3 separate regions of the Mus musculus genome follow, and regions 2 and 3 are each reported to be linked to region 1. The links are microRNA targets in miRTarBase. Many come from high-throughput screens and were not tested one by one. Region 1 holds a microRNA gene; each other region holds the end of a gene's coding sequence.

Region 1 (7,260 bases):
GCTCTGCTCTTCCCCACAGCCCCATCGTGCTGACCGTGGCCAAGTGTTGGGACCCGTCTCCCCAGGCCTACTTCACCCTCCCTCGAAGTGAGTGATGCTGGGGCTGGGGTCTGGAGTTAGGAGATCTGGGGAGCGTGGGCACTTGGGAGGTTAAGGCGGGAGGATCTCTAGATGGATGAGGCCAGCCTGGGCTACAGGGTGAAACCCTGCCTCAACCAAACAAGCCCAAAAAGAGATGAGAAAAGCTGGAAGTTGTAGGGAATGTGTTCAGGAGGGCCAAGGGATGGGGGTAGACAGAACTCCTAATTCTGGAACACACAGGCCTAGTTTTCCAGGCTTGAGCAGCAATCATCTTGGTGTTTCACGTTACTCTTGTCCTAGATGAGCCCATCCAGCCCATCGACCCAGCCGCCTGGGTGTCGCACTCGGCTGCGCTGACTGGCGCCTTCCCTGCTTACCCTGGCTCCTCATCTATGAGCACTATCACATCTGGCTCCTCTCTGCCTGATGGTGAGTCTCTCTCCTTTCCCGCCTCCCTGGGTGTGTGAGGGACCTTTCGTAAGTTCTCCGTGGTCTCTCCTATCAGGCTGCGAAGGCCGGGGTCTCTCTGTCCACATGGACATGGCCTCTGTCACCAAGGCCATGGCAGCCCCAGAGTCTGGGCTCGAAGTCCGGGACCGCATGTGGCTCAAGATCACCATCCCAAACGCCTTTCTAGGTATTCCCAGGCCCTGAGCAAGGTGGCATGGGAAGGTGGGGAGGAGGCCAAAGCTGGGCACAACACAAGGTGGAGGGGAGGGGAGGAGCTGGGAGGAGAGTCTGACCTGTTTGCTGTGCTGGATCCCAGGCTCCGATGTGGTGGACTGGCTGTACCATCACGTGGAAGGTTTTCCTGAGCGCCGGGAGGCCCGCAAGTATGCCAGTGGGCTGTTGAAGGCGGGACTCATCCGGCACACCGTCAACAAGATTACTTTCTCTGAGCAGTGCTATTATGTCTTCGGGGACCTCAGTGGTGGCTGTGAGAGTTGTAAGTCAGCAGGTCTGGCTGTAGGAGCTCAGGCTGATGTGTGCCCCGGTACTGCTGAGTAGTACTGCTGAGTAAGCGAGGTACCTGAGCTGCATCCCCAAGGGAAAGAGTGCTGCACGGGGCTCACAAAAGCATTTTGGGGCTATTGGTGAGAGTCCTGGCTGTTTCTCTGCCAGAGCAGCAGAGTTTCCTGTTGTAAGCCATCATGGTCTCTGGCTTTTGTCTCGTGGGGAGCTCTGGGGAAATGGCTCAGGTTTCTCTGTTCTCAGGAATCCTGGCCTCCTAAAGCAGGGACCTCTCTTCCATTTTTTTCCAGACCTAGTTAACCTCTCTCTGAATGACAATGACGGTTCCAGTGGGGCTTCAGACCAGGATACCCTGGCACCTCTGCCTGGAGCTACTCCCTGGCCCCTGCTGCCCACCTTCTCCTACCAGTATCCAGCGCCACACCCCTACAGCCCCCAGCCTCCACCCTACCACGAGCTTTCTTCGTACACCTATGGTGGAGGCAGTGCCAGCAGCCAGCACAGTGAGGGTAAGTGACCCACTCCCACGTACCAGTACAGCCAGAGAAAGTGGGCACAAGTAGAGCGGATTCGGGGAGGAGAGGCAAGAGCAGGGACTGGGATCCTGAGGACTCTGGGCTGAGCTTCATTTTCCTCGTCACCTCTGCCCTCCAACAGGGAGCCGGAGCAGCGGGTCGACAAGAAGCGATGGGGGGGCTGGGCGCACAGGCAGGCCTGAGGAACGGGCCCCTGAGTCCAAGTCCGGCAGTGGCAGTGAGTCAGAACTCTCCAGCCGGGGAGGCAGCCTTCGGCGGGGTGGGGAGCCTGGTGGGACTGGTGATGGCGGCCCTCCTCCATCCAGGGGCTCGACAGGCGCTCCTCCTAATCTCCGAGCTCTTCCCGGGCTCCATCCCTATGGAGCCCCATCTGGCATGGCTCTCCCCTATAACCCCATGATGGTAGTTATGATGCCTCCACCCCCACCCCCTGTCTCCACAGCAGTGCAGCCCCCTGGTGCCCCTCCAGTCAGAGACCTGGGCTCCGTGCCCCCAGAACTGACAGCTAGCCGTCAGAGCTTCCACATGGCCATGGGCAACCCCAGTGAGTTTTTTGTGGATGTTATGTAGGGACCCATCTTGAGGCCACATTGGGTCTGTGCCCTTGGCCTGGCAAGTTTCAGCCTGGTGCCCTTCATAGTGCCTGGGCTCAGCCTGGCGGCTGGTGCCTACCAAAACGTTTTTGCCACTGTGACTCTCACCAGCAGTGCCTGGTCCTTCCCCCTCTTCCTCGGGGGTAGATGGGGACCTTTGGTTATTTTTAGCTTTATTTTTTATAAGCTTTTTGGGGGGTTAAAATAGACTTTCTTATATTTGGGGGAGTATTTTTTTAAATAGACAGTTCCTCTTTTATATGGAGAATCCCTTCTAACCCCAGAATATGACCGCCACCTCCAGGTGCCTAGTCAGCTCTCATGTTGAGGGTGGGTGGTGGTCAGTGGTACCCTGGGAAGAAGAAGGTGTGGGCTGGGTACCCCAGACAGCAGTCCAAGGAGGCTGGTGGTGTGTTGGGGACTGTGTAGCTGCCTTTGTTACTCTATTTATTTTAGTCACTTGTACAAAACACCAAATAAAGCAAATAGAGGCCAACTCCCCAAGCCTCTGGCTCCTTTCTTTGCGAGGCAGGCAGTGGAGAGGAGGGAGCAGTGACATTCACGGCAGACAGTGACTTGGTAGAAAATTTATTGTTAAGGCAATAAGTACTCCATCACCCCCATAAAGGGTTTTGGCATCAGAGAAGGCACATGACCTTGCCAGGGCCTGATTGGGAGTCTCAGATTCCCAGGGGGTTACCGGTGACCAGGCCACCATTCTCCACCATGGCCTTGGAGATGCTTCTGAAGTTCCGGAAGAGCTCCTGATGCTGAGGGCTGGACTGCAGACTGGCCATGTTTTCTCGGATCCGAGTTGCAGCCTGGGGAGAGGGAAGGGGAGGGACGGTCAGGCCGTCCTGTACTGGGGAGCTCCAAGGCCCACCTGTACTGGGGAGCTCCAAGGCTCACCTCAATGCACCAGCTATCACAGAGCATTTTCTCATGCTGTGCCGTCGGGTAGCCCTCACTCAGGGACCTTGAGGCTCTGTGAGGAAACAGAGGTTAAAATGATCCTGAGTGCTGGTGTTGGCCCAGCTCCTCTGTGGCTCTAGCCTGCCAAGCGTCCCTCGCTGCCGCCTTACCTGGACAGAACCACCACCATGGCATAGAGGTCAATGGCGCCGTCCGCCAGTCGCTGCAGCAGGAACTGCTCGTCTGTCAGGTAGATGAGGGTGGGGCTGTTAGTCGGAGGGAGGGAATCAGGGAGGGAAGGGGGTTGCAGAGCTCACTCACTGACAATCCCTTTCTTGTGTTTCACCAGCTTGGCCTCCACCACGGTGGCAAATTGATCCAGAGCCTGCACTGCCTGAAGAGACAAGAGTCACAGACAGAGCTCAGGAGAGGAAGGCAGCGCACAGCCACCGCAGGCTCTGCTTTAAGGCTCACTCACCAGTTCACCACTGCGACTTAACTCTGGGTGGACAATCCCTGACAGACTCAAACCACTGCCGATTCCTGTCCTCCTGAGAGGAGATGGAAGAGTGACTGGTCAGTTGCGGCCTCCCATCTTGTTTGACCCTGACTCTGACCCTGGCCCCGGCCCATGAGGTACCGTCTCAGCTGTTTGCCTGCTTCTCCCATCAGGAGGCCAACGTTTCCAAAAGGATTCTTCAGGGCATTGCCCAGCCCAGTGAGTTCCTTTCCTTTGTCCTGTGGAGAGAAGGGGGACGGCGACAGTGAGGACTCAGTGTCCTCCCCAGCTGCTCTCTCTCATCCTCCTTCCTCTTACCATACAGCCTTGCAGAGCCACAAACAGTCGAAGAATGTCATTTGCCCCTTCAAAGATCCGGAAGATTCGAATATCTCGGAGCACACGCTCCACCCCTGGTTCCTGGCACGCAGGAAGACACAGAAACCTCTGTTGAGATGTGCCTGTCCACTCTGAACAGATGCCCCCCCCTGCCGAGGAATACTCTGTACCTTCATGAAGCCCATGCCCCCCATTATTTGGATGCACTCATCTGCCACTTTCCAGGCCGCCTCCTGAGGACAGAGAACCAGATGAGTTGGATTTTTGAGCTGAGGTCCTAATCTGGACTCCGCCCTCCCATCACACCTGGGTCCTCACCGAGCAAAAGATTTTGCTGATGGCGGCTTCTATCTGGAAGTCTTTGAATCCCTGGTCCATGTTGGCACTCAGCATGTAAGCCATGGACTAAGGGAGCATGGTCGGGACATGGGGAAGACAACAGGGAAGGGCTGCATCAGACAGAATGGCTAATGCTCAGACCTTCAAGACCAGTGCTGATCTACTCCTCCAACCCTTGAATTCACTTTAGCCTCCTGGTCAGGTCAAATATGTCCAATATGTGACCCTCTGGTATATCAGGGGCTTCGAGGCTTCCGACTTTGTAAAGGGGTGGGTTAAAAGTCGTGTTTGGTGCATCTGGGCAGCATTTAGCAGAGCAGCACCACCCTCCAGAAGAGAACTGACTATGCCTCCTCGCATCCCCTAGGGCATTGGTGTAAAGCTGGAGACCCACTGCCCCAGGTGCTGCTGGGGGTTGTAGTCTGACCCAACTGTGAAGAAAGCCATAGGGCTCCAGGGAAGGGGCCCAGGAGGCCCTTACCTCAGTCACATACTGCAGAATAGCCATCCGAGCCAGCTTTTCCTGGATCACCCCAAAGTTGTGAATTTTGTCCCCAAACTGGGTACGATTAGTAGCATGATCAACCTGCAAGAGGGCGCATGTTACCCCACTGTGGTTCTTCAGTTTCCACCTGGACGGGCTGGAGGCCTAACTGTGCCGATGGTCGAGTGTGCATGTGTGTGTGTCGGCGCTCTGAGGCAGTCAGGGACATGTGCTAGCTAGGGACTGGGCTGGGACTCACCGCCTTGGCAATGAGGGATTTCATGGTGCCTGCGAGGGTTGCAGCCATCCCGAATCTTCCGTTGTTGAGGATGTTGACAGCAACCTTGAAGCCATCTCCCACCTCTCCTAGCACATTCTCTGATGGCACCTTCACTCCATCAAAGTACACCTCTGACGTGTTAGATGCTTTGATGCCCATCTTCTTTTCAGGGAGCCCACTGAAAAGGCAGGGCAGGAAAGTTGAGGTATGAACAGGTTGCTGTGGGGGAAAACGGCCTTTTCGGGTCTCATGATCAGGGGAGAACTCCCCAGACTATAAAAAGGATACAGGGCACTGCCTATGTGCCCCAGGGGCTACGGATATCTAGCTATGGCCTGTTAGCCTGTGTTCCCCCAGTGGAAACAAAACTGCTCACCTCCTGTGGGTGCCTCTTGTACAGAGATAGCCCCAGCGTGGCCTGTATTGACTATTTGCTCTTGAGAGCCCAGTGCTGTCCCCATCCTTGATTCTGTTTTGCCCCATACTCACTGGGTAACCCCTCCGAAGCTCCTTTCCACTACAAAAGCTGTGATCTTCTCTTTCACGGCCCCCGTGGCTGCATCTTTAATTGGCGTCTTGGCAAAGACAGTGAAAATGTCAGCCAGGCCCCCATTACTGTGGAAGAGTGAGGTGGTTAGTATAGGGTTTAGAGCAGCAGGGTCAGGCCACTGGGCTGAAGGGTAGAAGAGAAACGGAAGATTGCCTGATCCAGATCTTGCTCCCATTGAGAGTGTAATATTTTCCACAGGGGCTGGGTATGGCTGAGCTTCGGATGGAGGCTACATCGGATCCACTCGAGGGCTCTGTTAGGCAGAAAGCAGCCAAAGCCTGCCCTGTGGGGGAGAGAACGGGCTCACTGGGGATCCTGACCACCAGAGTTGCACCCCCTCATCCCCAGGCAGTTCCTTGTAACACCGTGAGCAGTGTCACACTCCTTACCCCTGGGTCTCTTAAGGTTGCCTTACCAGATGCCACTCTGGGAAGGTATTTTTCTCTCTGGGCCTTTGTGCCATAGAGCAAGATGCCTTTGAAACCGATGCTCTGATGAGCTCCCAGGGTAACGCTAACACCAAGGTCATGCATGCCCACAATCTCTGCCAAGCGAGCATACTGGAGGGAAAGGAGGCATCTGGGATTGTAGCTGGCTGCACTGAACTTGTCCTCAACAAGAATGGGCAGCAGGGCAGACCTGGCCTGGGGCTTGGAGCATCTCTACTCTGAGCATGGGGAGTGGAGTGGGTTTGGACAGGGCACAGGGAGGCTGGCCATGGGGCTCCCAGGTAGGCTGCTTCTCTAGCATGAAACCCTGGAGTCTTTCCTAAGGAGACAGGAGCAGGAACATCAAAGGGCTTAGATAATCCCCCCCCCCCCTTTTGAGGCAGTTTCATTTTGTAGCTCCAGCTAGCCTGAAACTTTGTGGGTTTCCCTGACTGTCCTGAAACTCCCTCTGTAGACCATGCTGGCCTTGAACTCGAGATCCGCCCGCCTCTGCCTCCATCCTCCATGCTGGGATTAAAGATGAGTGCCACTGTGCCCAGCTGCCCTTGGTCTTGATGGGAAGGTTGCCTGCTGTGTTGCCTCACACAGTCCCCAAAGACCTGGGAACCACAGTTAGGTCCACGGTCCTAGTGGGCTGCACACAGATCATGTTTCAGGGGAAAATGTGTGAGAAAAAGGGCAGGCAGGTAGACACTACTCTGGCTACTTGCTTGGCCCTAGTGGTGAGTCTACCAAAACTGGAGCACTGTGGAATGTTAACCAGGGGGATCCTCTCACCTGGGTATTAGAGAGGCCCAAACCACCCAGCTCGCTGGGTACTTGCAGGCCAAATGCCCCCAGTTCCTTGAGTCCCTGCAAAGTGTCGTCCTCCACCTTCTCCAAGGCGTCGTTCTTGGCAGGGTCATTCACTTCCTGAGCAAGGAATAGGAAGAATCTCATATTCAGAGGCTCCTTTAAGCTCCTTAGCATCTTACTTAGCCCAGGAGGGGCTGAGCTCTGGTCATCCCTTACCTCAAAGAACCGGGCCACTGGTCCCACCAGCTCTTTGAGAAATTGTGCCTGTTCTTCACTGAGCACTGTATAATGGGAGAGAAGAGCAGGCTAGTCAGGCAGAGAGGGCTCCCCTGCCCACACTGTCAGTGACTGACTAAGCCTTTACTTACCAGATGGGTATGGGAACACCTGATCAATGGTAAGCTGGCCTTTGAACATCCCCACAGCAAAGG
Region 2 (7,000 bases), not on the chromosome of region 1:
GTAGTTGTTGATGATGTTGATGTTTTCAGAGTCAGGGCTCCTGCATAGCCCAGGCTGGCTCAGAGACTACTATCCTGTTACCCTAGCCACAAGTGGCTGATTGCAGGTGTTACTGTGTAACCTTGGCTATCTGAAACTCACTGTGTAAATGAGAACTGGTCTCAAAACTCCCAGAGATTGCTCTGCTTCTGCCTCTAATTAAAAGTATTCTGCTGGAATTAAAAGTATGTTCCATTACACCTGGTCTGAGCAAAACTTTTTGAAAGCCATATCTTGTGTTTGGTGCTGGATGAGGTTTCAGATCTGATGCAAATAGGAAGTACTCTCTCTGTTGCAAGGAGTATCAGTAGGAAAGTCAGTGAGGCCTGCACTAGAGAAATAATGGAATCAATAATTGTGGTGCTAGCCAGATATGGTGCCTCAGGCCTGCAGTCAGCATTTCAGAGGTTAAGACAAGGACCACAGTCAAGGGTAGTTTGGACTGCACAGACCCCGGCTCTCAAATACAGAAATAAGGCCAGCAAGATGACTCAGCAGAGAGAGGCGCTTGCTACCAAGCCTGATGATCTGAATTTGGTCCCCAGTCCCCACATGGTAGAATGGGAGAGCTGACTCCCAGAAGTTGTTCTCTGACCTGCAGGTATAGATGCACGTCATCAAGTAGTTCCTGTAGTGTGTGGATGTACACATGTTAAAAGGAATGATAAATATATAATGAAGTTTTTAAAAGTACAATAATGAAAAGAAATTGAACTCATGCCATGATGAGGACACCAGTGTTGTTAAGACAGATTCCAGATCTTAAAGCATGGGTCTAGCACTTCTCCCCTCTGGTGACATGAGAAGACCAAAACCCACTGGTTTGGTCCAAAATGATTTGTCCAGGTTCACACAGATGACAGGTAGCTTTTTTAAAAAGGTAGAACTTAAAGAGAACTTTGAAACTTCTTAGAGCAAGGTTAGAAAAGAATCAAAAGTTACTAGACCAGCAGAGAACAGAATCAGGGTTATGTTGGTGGGACCAGAAGGTGTTTGGATACCAGGCTTAGCATTGGGATTTTATCGTACAGGCAGTGGGAGAATAGAAGCAGAAAGGCCAGAAATAGAAAGCAGGAAAATTTGACTAGCTTAGACATGTACAGCAGAACGTTTTATTTCTTTAAATGAGCGCTGTTTGGGACTCTCTAGGGTGGAGTTGGAAGAGATACTGAGAGACACCCTTAGGTAACTGCTGTACTTCCCTCCCTGTCTCTACAGATATCCCACTATTGAAAGAAGCATGAGGGCTGCCGCTGGCCTCTGTCCTCTCTGCCCGTCCTCTCTCTTCCTGTGGGTTTGAGTACCATGTCCTCTCTAGCTGCCCCACCTGGATGCCTGAACTGCCACCTGTGTATCTCTGTGTACCTGAGAGCCTGCAGGCCACCTCGATGGATACTCAAGAAAGATTCTCACCATCTGCCCACTGGACAGCTGGAGGACCTGGCCCTTTGCCTGGCCCAGCCTTCCCATCTGTCTGTCAGGGATGTGTCTGAATGCGCTGGATTGAACCTCCCCTTCCCCTCAGCCTCTGGGTCCCTTCCAGCCAGCTCTTGGTGGCAGCCCCGCAGCCATGAGGGCCTGAGCACTGCTGTGTTTACTTGTGCCTTCCCCACCCTGTCCAGGTTCCCTGTTGTGCAGGTGGGTTGCTATCCACAGGCCTTAGTGGCTACTGCCACCTGTACCCGGGGGCCAGGCCTGAGGCTGCAGAAACAGATTGAAGAGTAGTAAGGCACTCAAAGCAGGAATAGCTCATGCTGGGTCCAGAATGTGGGTCCCTGAGCTTGCCCTGTGTGTTGACACTGATGGCGGCATCTTCCTTAACTGAGGACAGAGGTTTGGGAAGTCATGCCAAAGCCACCCAGCACTCGCTGACCAGCTCTCGTGCAGGTTCCTGGCTCTTTTGAGAGTTTCTAAGAAGCACCCAGAAGACCTGTGGGAAGGAGGAAAGGTGTCAGATAATGATTGTCTTCCTAATACTCAAGTTCTCACTTCCTGCTTCCAGCACTGGCTGCCTTGGCCTTGGTTTCTGTTCCTGGATAAGGGGAAGTTGCATGCTGTTTCCTGGACTTTGTCCTAGGTAGCTCTGGCTTCCTTGCAGCCCACAGAATCCTGAGATTTGCTGAGATGCCAACAAAAGCTCATCTGGCTTTTGGCAGTCTGGGCAAGTTGCCCCTTTTTAGGTTTGTGGTGATGGAGGGGAGGCTGATAGGTACAGACCAAGTCCCCGGTGGCTGCAGGCAGCTCCGGCAGGTCCTGAGGATCCTCCTCACCACGGTCATGTGCCTTAGTAACTGTGCCCAGGAAGTGGCCTGCTGTGCCACTGCTCCCACTCTGTTCTCTCCTCCCTGCCTTTCCACACGTCATCGTTGAAAAGCCACTCCTTATTTTCCCTGCCAGCTGATAGAGATGGTGGGCACCCAGAAACCTGAGATACAGGTCCTGGGAGTGGGAACGTACTAGCCTAGAAGAAATGCTCCAGCCATTTCCAGCCTCCTATTGCCCTGTACTGAATGCTGACAAGTCTGGGTAACTGAGCCCCACCAGGCTTCTACCATCTTGAGAAGACAGATGTGGTATCAAGGAATGTGTGTGTTTTTTTTTTTTCTTCTCATCTTTCTTCCTTTCTTCCTTTTCTTCCTCTTCTTCTTCTTCTTCTTTCTCCTCCTCAAGCCTTGGGGCTGGGAAACTCTTCAGAGCCAGTCCTGGACTGAACCTGTGATGAGCCTCTCTGGGGTGGTAAAAATAATAAAAGCCCAGTATATTTATAGTTCCTGACACAACAGGGTTAGCTCCAGGCATCTGTGGCCTCAAAAATAGGGGAATAACTTCTCCTAGCCAACTGCCTCCATTCACAATGCACTTTAGTCCCTGTCATGCCTGGCTTCCTGACACCCTCATCTCCTCTCAGGGTAAGGGCAGTGTCTGCTGTCCCTGCTGGCCACTCCCACACTAACCCAGGAGGCCAGTCCAGTGTGCCCAGTGTCCAGACAAGTATGGTTGGCTGAGGAATGAGCTGGAAAAGGTGCTTAGACTAGACGACTAGAACACCCCTAGCAGGTGCTGCCATAGGCTTACCTGGGGGTGGGTTCCAAGGCCCCAAGCCACCTCACCATGGCGCTTCTTCAGCTTCAGTGGTGTCCACCCCCCTCAAGGGAGAACTGGGCAAGGAACACGAGTCTTCTGAATGGGCCTGCCTCTTTTGCTTACTGCTCTTCTAAAATCTGAGTTCTGTTTTAGTTCTGTGTCGTTACCCTGGGCTTTTGCCCCTTACAGATTGCACTTCTTTGGCTTATTATTTAGCCTTGTAGGTGCCTGGCTTTGGCCTTGGGAAAAAGAACCTCCTGGTGCCTCGTTTTCTCTCAGCATTCATTAGCCTGCTGTGGGGAAATCACAGGCCCAGGCTTGCCTAACTGAAGGATAAAGGGCACCCGTGTTCCCCATCCTCTTGTCACAGGCTTTTAGAAGGTCTGTTCTTGAGGTCTCACACCTGTTGCTGGCATCTGTGGCTTCTTCCTGCATTGTTTTCTTCTACAGCAATTTCTTAACCATTAGCCATGTGCTGTGGTTTCTGGGGCATCTGGGCTTTGTCCATTACAGACGGACTGGGGACTTAATTGCCTTGAAGTGGAGCCTGCTAGAAACAGGGTCAGTGGCAGGTGGCAGGCGGATGGGCAGGAAGAAGCTTCGAGCAAGTGGGAAGAAACTAAGCAGCCTACTTTACTGGGCTCACCTCCAGGGACATCCTGAGACTTGTCCAAAAGAGGCAGTCAGCACCAAAGGACTTTTACACAGGGTTTTTTGGTTTGGGAGATGTTTTTGCTTTTTCATACTTACACTGACTCAATGCAGGTTTTATATCCTGGTGACTTGCTGTCACATTCTATCAGTTTTCAAGGGCCAGAATGATGAAATAAATAAATAGAAAATTCCGTCCTTCCATGCCTTAGTTTAACAGGTGAGCTCTACCTGCCCAGTTCTGTGTTTTGTGTGAGAACTGTGAAATGGGCGGAGTCCTGACCACTTTGTGGGTTCGTTTGGTTTTATAAGGCATTTCAATGTACATTCTTCAAGCACTCCATTTGCAAAGAGAACTTAAAGTCATACTGTCTTCCCCATTCATCCTGCCCTCCTTGCACCCCCAGCTTTACAGTTCTGTAAAGAAGCCAGGCTACAAGACAGACAAAGGTATATTTTTCCTGCTTTGAGAGTGGCCAAGTTGGGATAGATGGCAGTTGGCCTTTTTCCTCCCAGTCCTATCAGAGCTCTTGAGTCACTTGGCTTCCTGCATAACAATATCTCCTCTGTTCTGAGGAACATTCTAGCATAGAAAATGGAATATGCTGCAAACATTTCTAGATCCTTCCTCCCTTCCCCCTCCTTAAAGAACAAAGAAGGGACACACAGCATGCCTACCACACAGCTTCATTCCAGGTATGCTTGCGCCTGACAGTACAGCTAGAGCCTTCTCTGTGGGGCCTGCTGGGTCTCCTGCAGCCTTAGAGAATATTTTACTTGGCATTTTACTAGGCAGTTGAAAACCTAGTAGAGTTTGAACAAAGCGCACCCCACCCCACCCGTCCTTCACCCAGCAGCAGAGCTCACCATGAGGGTGCAGAGTAGAGCACTTGGATTGCCAAGTAGGGAGAGGAAGTAGTTGAGGGTTGCATGGCTGTATCCACACTGGCCTGGCTTCTTAAGGCTGTGCACCACTATGGGATCCTTTGCAGAATGGTACTCATAAAATGGTTTAAACAACACATGCTTAATTGACTGTGCAGGATGTCAATCAATCTGGGTTTGCTTTATTTTATTTTATATATATATTTTTTGGTATCCTGTACATTGCAGTGGGTATGAAGATAGTATTTTAATATTTGTACAAAGTTTAATTTAATTTTAATTGTTCTATGTATATAACTGCATTTCTAAATAATAATAAAAATTCTTATGAAGGCAGATGTGAGATGTAGTCCTTCCCAAAAATAGTTTTTCAGAACTCTAGATGATTGAAGAGAGTAGGTGTTGGGGTTAAGGCTATATGTGCTAGCTTGGCATGTGTGAGACCCTAGGTTCAGTCTCCAGCACCACAGAAGGAAGAGGAGGAGAGAGGCGGCTCAGTTGGTAGAGTGTTTGCAAGCGTGAGGACCTGAGTTCGTATCCCCAGAACTCACACAAATCGCTGGGTGTGGTGGTATGTTCCTGAAATGAGGACAGACTCAGGAATTTGCTGGCCAGCCAGCCTCCATAATTAGCTCCAGGTTCATAGTCCTTATTCAGGAAAAGATAAAGTTGGACAGCAATAGAGTGCCATCCTTTGGCCTCTGCTTGTGTATCCACACACATACACTGTACACACACAAAGAGTGGAAGCAGGCAAGAGCTCATGACTAGAGGATGCTCTAGGTCTGAAGAGGCTGCTTGGCAGGTATGGAGACGGGACAGATTCAGAAAGTGCTCATTAAGAACATAGAACCGACAGTTGGGTGATTGATTGGATCAGGGGCCATCTTGGGGGTGCACAGATCATTGAGGGCAGTGCAGAGGGAGGGTGACCTGGGAGAAGGACTACCAACTATCACCAGTAGAAAACCATTGTCTCTTGATCAACTGCTTTCCTCTCGGGGTGCCAAACACTTGAGCATCTGATCCTAATATGGTTGGGCTAATGTAGAATGTCAGTTGGGCCAGGAGGGGAGACAATTAACAAGTGCATCATGATTGATATAATCTGGAACCTAGAAGAAGATGGGATGGGGCATTCCAAGCCTTCAGATGAAACACAGCTAGGTGTGTGAAGGACCGGTACCATGAGCCTAGACAGGCTGAGCATGGTGCAGTCTGTGTCTGGGCACAAAGGACAGCGCGTGTGTATGGTACATGCAGTATAGAAAGTTGCATACTAGGCAGTGGAAAAAGGAAAAAGGAGAGAGAAAGAACTTGCTCCTGAATTTGAGGAGACAGTGACTTGGACCACAAGGAGGTAATATGGAGAATGGGGAGTCTCCACAGCCCACTAGGGATGTTTGCACACCCTATGGGCATGGACATCACCTTGGCAGGTCTCAGTTAATGCCATAGCATTAACTAAAATTGAAGGGGTTAGGGGATGGACTCTGACTGCATCTAAAGGATGGATGTAGGGATATAAGACCCTAGTGAGCTGGGTGGATGACAATAGGATCTCTAGGAAGATGGCTGTTGGGATAGAAGTTGGTAAATTCAGTCAGTACTTTTAACACAGAGCTGTTAGGTGACTGGATGCAGGGGGAAACACATCTCAGGGGTACACAGATCACTGCCAGCAGTACAGAGGAAAGCTAGACAGAACTGTAGGAAGACCAGGAGTGTGTTGTATGCCTTTAATGTCACCCTTCAGAAGCAGAAGCAAGATTGGGGGTTCAAGGCCAGCCATGACTACAGTGAGACCCTGCCATTAAAAGGGGGGAGAGGTATGTAGGTCAATGGAACAGCACTTCCCTGGCATCATCAAAGGCCTCAGAAGTTTGAACCCTAGCACCACAAGGAAAGATGTATTTAAGGAAGAAGGCAGTGAGGACTGAATTAAAAACAATTGGGAGTGGTGGTGCACACAGATCTCTGACCTACATAGCAAATTCCAGGCCAGCCGGGGATGCATAGTGAAATACTAATGACAAGCGGGGCAGTTGTGGCGCACACCTTTAATCCTAACACTTGGGAGGCCAAGGCAGAGGCAGGTGGATTTCTGGGTTTGAGGCCACCCTGGTCTACAGAGTGAGTTCCAGGACAGCCAGGGCTACACAGAGAAACCCTGTCTCGGAAAGAAAAAAAAAATACTAATGATGGTAGATAAGTAGATAGACTGATTGATTAAGTGATAATGGAGAACAGATCACAAGACAAAGAAGACAGGAACTTAGGTGTGGTGGAGATGTGTTTGAAAGAGTCAAACTCAAAATACAGCAACAGAGTTTCTATGGAG
Region 3 (7,000 bases), not on the chromosome of region 1:
AACACCACGCTCAAGCCTGATTACCGTGGTGTTTGAAGGCAGATTCTGTTGAAGACGCACTTGGGGCAGGGAGAAGGGTTTCTGAGGCACATAGAACAGGCACTCGAGAAAAGGCAGGATGACAGGGTTCTATGGAAAGGGGGGTTAAGTATGGTACATTATTAGACTCGGCATGGACTGTGTTTATGTAATCATAACACTATAAACAAAGAACTAACCCAAACTTGCAACGGGAGTCTGTTAGGATGTTAGAGAGAAAAGTAGGAGCTGTTGGGCTTTATCTACTATGGTGGAAAGCGGAGAGCTATCCAGCAAGGATCGAGAAAGAAGCGGTACACACCGCGAACTGGAGTTAGCAGTGTGAATACTAACCACCTTCCTGGGCTGATAGTAGACAGCAAGCAGGTTCTGCTCGACACCTCCTAGCCGCACCGTGGCATGACCTTGAGTTAAGGAAACTGTCACACCAGTGTGCTCCCTTTGTACCCTGGGACTGATAATAATAGGCTGGAGTTGTGAGGATCAAGTGAGATTGGCTACGTCAGTGCACAGCACAGGGCCTGGCATGTGCTCAGTAAATGCCGTGATAATTTCTGTGGTAGCTGTCAGAGGCTTAAAGAAAGGGTAACAGGAAGGCATGATCAGATTCATGCTGTGGGGGAACCAGCCCAGCAGCAATGATAGGGGTGGCTGGGGGCCAGGTAGGGGGGAAAAGGAGCCAGAGGCTGGAGGGAGGCTGCAGCAGCAAGGCAGAGGCCATTCGGGGATGGCAGTGAGCCCTAGAAGGGATCTGGCAGGCAAGGCGAGAACTCAGACTGCCCCTGCCTAACTCCTTAGGTGTTATAGCTCTCTTCTGCCGCCAGTATGATATCATCAAGGACAACGAGCCCAATAACAACAAGGAGAAAACCAAGAGCGCATCAGAAACCAGCACACCGGAGCATCAGGGTGGGGGTCTCCTCCGCAGCAAGGTGAGGGGAACACCTTGGCTTGGTGGGTGTCCTTAGACATCTGTAGTCCCTAGACTGCACAAGGGAAGGGGTCAGCTCAGGACCTGGCGTGGCAGCAGCTGGGCAAAGCCAAGCTTGGCTGCTGCCGGTGTGACACAGGGGACACTGCAAATTGATTTTGGATCCTTGCCTTTTGCGGAGTGCCAAGGGCCAGTGTCTTTTTTTTTTTTTTTTTTTTAAGACAGCCAATGGGAAAGGCAGAGTTCCTGGTTGCTGTGGTTGGGTCAGCAGGAGAAGGGGTGACATGGCCTGGGGCAGTGTCTTACCTCTGTTCCTTCACTTCCTCTTCTATGAAACCAGATATGATGACACATTTACAGTGCTTGCTCTGAGCAGCTCAGAAGACAGTAGAGAATGCGAGAGGACCTTCTGACGGTGATTGTCCAACATGCATCTGGCCCGCTCTGCGGCTCCTCCCACCTCCATCTTCTCCTATCATCGGGCTTATTATCCTCTCTCTTGGCTTCTCTCTTTCTGATATCAGTTCCTGAAGCCTCTCACTAACCCCTAGCTCCAGGAGTACCTCAGCAATGTCCATGGCTGAAGCTACACCCAGAGACAGAGCTGCAGAATGAGAGAGACCCAGCCGGAGGGATGCCATTGCTGCGGGGTAGACTGAGTGCCAAGGCTCTTGGCACAGGACTCACATCTGGGCCACTCAGCTTGACCGAAGGCTGTGTGTGAAAGGGGAGAAAGACGAGACTTCCAGGCAGGGCTATTCTTTTTATTTCTGCGAGGGACAAGAGTCTGGCTTTTAAGCTGCAGCCCCGCTGTTCCTTTTCTCCTCTGTCCCATTTCCTACCTTACATGAAATCCATTCAACCGGCTCTGGACACTTCTCTTATCTGTTCCCTTCCTGGTTTCCAAAGAAGCCCTCTGTGAACATCATCAAAGCATGGGTACCCCCATCTGCAAGGGATGGGCTTCATCCTCCGCTAGTCCCTGTGTCCTTCCTGGGCACGGGGTGAGAGCTGTAGAAGCGGTGGGGGCACAGCTAGCCACAGTTTTTCCTTTTCCCTACCTTAGTCTGACAGAGGAGGTTGAACTACAAACCCAAATTCTGCAAAAAAAAAAAAAAAAAAAAAAAAAAAAAAATCAAATAAGCCACAAAGCTAAAAGACTGCGCCCCATTCTGAAGAAGGCACAAGTACATGGGAGAGTCCTGCCTTACTTCTCCTGGACTGGCTTCCTCTTTGAGAAAATGCACAAAGCTCTGGGAGAAAGCAGCTACCAAGACTATCTGGAACTGTGTCTGTCAGACCAATGGTACCAGGGAGGCTGCAGTGCTGCCAGCTTTTCAAGGGTCCTGACTCTGTCAGACACTTTCTGGATTCAGCCACTAAGGACATCTGTGGTACAAGGTGCACCTTTGCAAATGTGTATGATGCCAGTTGTTTGGACTCTTGGAAAACACCACTGGAGGGCTTTGCTCCAGAATGCAGACCGCTCTGCCAAGGCCTCCATGTCTGCTTGCATCTAGCTTGCACAAAGATAGATCTTTGTGGTGAGATCATCTGTGTGGAGTTTTAAGAAGCTCTGGAAGAAGGTACTGCCCGCGTTTAAAGGAAGTGCCTTGGCTGGGGCAGCAGTGTCAGCTTGGATAACTGAAAACACCTACATCCTACAGCATAAAGAACTGCTGAGCGAGCTACTGGAAAGCCGTTTACACCAGACAGGCAGAGAGCAGAGAGCAGCCACTGTCACTATCTTGCCATCTCATTCAGGGTCCTCTGAAAGTTACCCAGGGCTCTCATCTACTTCCCTAGAGCTTGCAGTGTAAAGTGACAGCTAGTGTGCTCCCTCTCTCCCTCCCTCCCCCTCCTCTCCTCTGCCCCTTACTGGTTTAAAAAAAAAAAGGTGCTTGATGTGGCAGCAGACTTCTTGGAGACTGAAGCACAGTGGCTGCCAGACGCCTGCACTGGAAAGGCGAACGAACTCTGTATCTTCCATCGGTGGCCAAGGGAGTGTGGGTGGCTGTTCCCAGCACATAGTAGGTGCTTGGTAAAATATCTGTGGTACTGAATGTTGAGCACAGGTGCCCAAGTCAGAGAGCTGAAAGCCATCACCCAATGACTGCCCCTTCATTCGGGTCTCTAACAGCTCTCCAAGCTGGGTCAGCCACCACTGTGCTCGCTCCAACTGCGGGTAGCACAGGAGAGGAGGGACGGATAAGGGCAGATGTCAGCAATACTAAGGGCTTCCTCCTGGGAGGGAATGAGGTTCCACTCATTGTCTCGTGACTTCCATCCCTGCTGAACGGGGCTGCAAGGCCAAGGCTCCTTAAGGGAGGTCCTTACCTCCAATCCAGTTAGAGCAATAACCACTTTTTAAATGTAAAATAAAGACAAATGAAAAGGCACATCCTTGTCTTTTGGTAAATGCCCAAACGTTGCCCTCTTTTTCTGGCAATTGGCAGCAAGTCAGGATGTGTGGAGGAGGGAATCAGTCCTCTTCCATTTTGGCCTGCAGCTTCTTAGGGACATGCCAGCCAGCCAAGCTGGAGTTGGAAGGGAATTCTCGAACAGATGGGGGTGCACGTGTAGGAGAAGAAAATAGCTGCTCCACCATCGTCTTTCTGAGGCTCCTCTCTAAGCCCAGCTTGGGCTGCCTCACCACATAGGTATGCAAGCATCTGCTCAGTTTCTTAAAACAAAGGGTTTTCCTCTCAGGAGAGGGCTGGGCGCTTATTCCTGCCAGAGGGCTGAGGTTCTCATCTGGGGTGGGGGTATGGAGTGAAGAACTGCAGAAGCAGCTTTCTGCAGAAATCATTCGGTATTCGCTCTGCGTTCTTCTGGGCTGTTAAAGGAACATCATTAAGATTCCAACAGCAGGTTGAAAGGCAGGCAGAGGAATGACACCATTAGCCAATGAGCAGACCAGTAAATAGGGCACCTTAAACACTCCCGTCCAGAGCCAGGCGAGAGGATGTCAGATGTGCAGGGTCTGAAAGCAGAGGGAGAGGAAGTCCTCAGAAGTCCCTGAACAGACAGAATGCCAAACCAGACCCCAGAGAGGCTCCCTCTGCCCGTCTGCTTTCAACTAAGACGCGGAGAGGCCCTGGGTAGAGGTAGGTAGTGGTGTCTGGAGATCCTGCTATTTGAGCAAGGTTTCCAGTTTCTCCATGCCCGTGGTACACCGTAATGGATCCGAAGGGAATAACTATCCTTCTAGCTTAGAGGTTTGTCCTTTCTCCTGTAGTAAGGATCTCACTCTTCCTGAATCAACTGTTACTTGCCATCAAATACTACAGCTATTATTTAAGAAGTGGTCCCTCTGTTCCTTTCAGGTGACTCCAATGATTTTTGCAATTTGGGAAAGGTCCAGGCAGCTCTGAGACCAAGACCACAGCAGGCTTGCAGGAAGAATGCTGGATAGAAAGGCAGGAGACCCTGACACCTCGGGTAGTCACTTCTCTGAGGGGGGAGTAGCCTTCCTTTCTACCAATACTGCATGCAGATTTCCGGAGCCTACCTACCCAGTATACTAACTAAAGGCTGCCCTAGAAACCTCGGTGGAAGCCGAAGAGATAAGGCTGCCAGGTATTGGAAACATGAATGAGGCTTCAGACATACTTTATTTACTTACTAAATTTTGTTTTAAGTATTGCTTCTATAAACAGAATTCTGTCCACCCCCAGGGCCAGTCCACAGATTAAAAACAAAACAAAACAAAACAAAAAACAAAACCAAACTTGAAAATATAACCTGAAGTTAATAAGTTAAGGACATCTCAGATAGTAACCTGGGGATACATTTCAGGATTGTCACTGAATTGCCAAAGGTCATATTCCTCCTATTTCTGGCTGAGTGCTAGGAAAGGCCAGATTTCCCATCTACGGCGTGTCTCAGCTGTTAGGGAGGAATAAATGGGTTGGAATGACAAGGCAAGTGCTTACTTATTAAGGAATTCCAACATCGACCAGTTGCCTCTGTGACAAATGGAAATATTTACCCGACAGGTGCCCCCAGTGTACCCACACACACATATTCTCTCTCTCTCTCTCTCTCTCTCTCTCTCTCTCTCTCTCTCTCCCTCTCTCCCTCCCCCTTGTCCCCTCCCCCTCCCTCCAAACCTTTGGATTATTTAGGGAATAAGAGGAGGACCTTAGTTTCTCGTCCTATAAAAGCTCAAGATGGGCTTCTCAGAGAATGAGCCTGGTCCATTTCTCCTTTTTCTACCAACTTCTCTCTAACAAGATGAATGAGACACCATCATTTCAGAGGATTCATCCTGGTCTCTGAAACCTTTGATATATATGGTAAAAACTAACCCTGACACAAACAGGAAGTAGTTACCAAAAGGTCCTCTACACTTGACAGGAACATTACATATACACGGGTTAAGAAAACCACACACTGAGACAAGCATATCAAACAGCTAAGTGTTTACCACATTTCTGTGCAAGCTTTTGCCTAGAGTAAAGAATGGCTTTGTCTAGAAAACACACACACACACACACACACACACACACACACACACACACACACACACACACTCCAGACAAAACTTGGCATGGTAACACTTGTCTGTAATCTCCTTCCTTTCAGGAGACGGAGGCAGGACTTAAGTTTGAAGCCAGTCTGGGTTTCATAGTGAGATCCTGTCTCAAAATACCCACAAAATGTAAAGATCAGCAGGTCAGAGAGCCTGTCCAAGTATGTTGCTACTATTTTCTCAGCAGGAGCTGGGATTTTAAGAGCACTGGCTAATGTAGGTGACAATCTATTATTGCTGTCCTTATATCCTTGCTCTGAGGAGGCTTAGGTCCATAAAGGGGTTTAAAGAAGGTTCTCTCTCCAGCATCTACCCACATACATCCAATCTTCACACCGGACAGTTGTTCTTGGAGCAACAATTTCCGGAGAAGTTGGGTTAAGAACACCCACCAGGGGGCTGGTGAGATGGCTCAGTGGGTAAGAGCACCCGACTGCTCTTCCGAAGGTCCAGAGTTCAAATCCCAGCAACCACATGGTGGCTCACAACCATCCATAACGAGATCTGATTCCCTCTTCTGGAGTGTCTGAAGACAGCTACAGTGTACTTACATATAATCAATAAATAAATCTTTAAAAAAAAAAAAAAAAAAAAAAAAAAAGAACACCCACCAGGGGCTGGCGAGATGGCTCAGTGGTTAAGAGCGCCGACTGCTTCAGCGCCGACTGCTCTTCCGAAGGTGCAGAGTTCAAATCCCAGCAACCACATGGTGGCTCACAACCATCCGTAATGAAATCTGACGCCCTCTTCTGCAGTGTCTGAAGACAGCTACAGTGTACTTACATATAGTAAATAAATAAATAAATCTTAAAAAAAAAAAAAAAAGAACACCCACCAATTTCAAATGACTAATTCTGGTTTCTCCTGTTTCCAAAGGGAGAATGCCCTGGAACCGCATGGTTTCCTAAACATACACAGTGGCCGGCCATGGATCCATGGGAAGGGAAGGAATGCAAGGCACTGCCCTCCCGCCCGCTACCGGCTGCCTGGTCTCCCCCGCCCTCTGCACAGGGATATTTCAGGCTCTCCCAATGTCAGGCTCCTGACATGCACCATATGTAGCTGCAAATCCTAATCAATTGCAACATTTCTTAACTGCTGGAACGCCTTCCCCAGCACTGTAATTTACCCTCAAAAGAACAGGGAGCAAGCACTTTCTCCTTCCCAGAACCATATTCTACTAAATGCCGCCACCCTCCCAAGCAGAGCGACCTACGCAGAGGAAGGCAGAGAGTGCTCCTCCAAAGCCCGGAACAGACGGCCACAGTACATATGCCACTGACGAGAACTTTTATTTCTTTTTAATGACATTAAACACAACTGCTACAAGGGGAAAAACATGATAAAAAAGGAGGCACCAAACTTCAGTTTCATAATCGACCCCGACAACAACTCGAGTAAATCAGAGCCCGATGAGCTGCAGAGCTATTGTTATTTCGGCTCCTGACCTACACAGGAACTATTTATCAACAACACATTTTAGCTTTGCTTTGTCA

What was found. Region 1 holds the annotated microRNA mmu-miR-324-3p (CCACUGCCCCAGGUGCUGCU, at 4,662-4,681, shown strand). A microRNA usually pairs through its seed, bases 2 to 8, with sites in the 3' UTR of a target mRNA and lowers its output. Matches are read on the target gene's strand: a 7mer-m8 pairs with bases 2 to 8, a 7mer-A1 pairs with bases 2 to 7 and ends in A, and an 8mer does both.
Region 2: miRTarBase lists Susd6 as a target of mmu-miR-324-3p. Seed matches in the 3' UTR shown: 7mer-m8 at 2,954-2,960.
Region 3: miRTarBase lists Fndc5 as a target of mmu-miR-324-3p. The part of its 3' UTR that is shown has no 7-base or 8-base seed match.

What each region holds. Positions count from the first base shown.
Region 1 is chr11:70,007,434-70,014,693 of GRCm38, forward strand. Mir324 (microRNA 324) reads left to right here and starts at 4,610; the gene lies at 4,610-4,698. Dvl2 (dishevelled segment polarity protein 2) reads left to right here. Exons shown (of 15, transcript NM_007888.4): 10 at 20-87; 11 at 382-510; 12 at 587-718; 13 at 848-1,027; 14 at 1,344-1,562; 15 at 1,711-2,676. The coding sequence ends at 2,159. Acadvl (acyl-Coenzyme A dehydrogenase, very long chain) reads right to left here. Exons shown (of 20, transcript NM_017366.3): 4 at 7,198-7,260; 5 at 7,046-7,110; 6 at 6,812-6,946; 7 at 6,001-6,145; 8 at 5,739-5,868; 9 at 5,525-5,650; 10 at 5,015-5,213; 11 at 4,753-4,857; 12 at 4,251-4,337; 13 at 4,103-4,165; 14 at 3,912-4,013; 15 at 3,735-3,832; 16 at 3,573-3,645; 17 at 3,416-3,488; 3 more. The coding sequence ends at 2,863.
Region 2 is chr12:80,875,839-80,882,838 of GRCm38, forward strand. It overlaps Susd6 (sushi domain containing 6), which reads left to right. Exons shown (of 6, transcript NM_178682.4): 6 at 1,258-4,995. The coding sequence ends at 1,283. Among named protein-coding and RNA genes, the nearest start is that of Gm23298, 32 kb to the right of the region's middle.
Region 3 is chr4:129,141,225-129,148,224 of GRCm38, forward strand. Fndc5 (fibronectin type III domain containing 5) reads left to right here. Exons shown (of 6, transcript NM_027402.4): 5 at 838-971; 6 at 1,311-3,369. The coding sequence ends at 1,316. It overlaps S100pbp (S100P binding protein), which reads right to left. Exons shown (of 7, transcript NM_001379590.1): 7 at 6,778-7,000. Among named protein-coding and RNA genes, the nearest start is that of Fndc5, 7.7 kb to the left of the region's middle.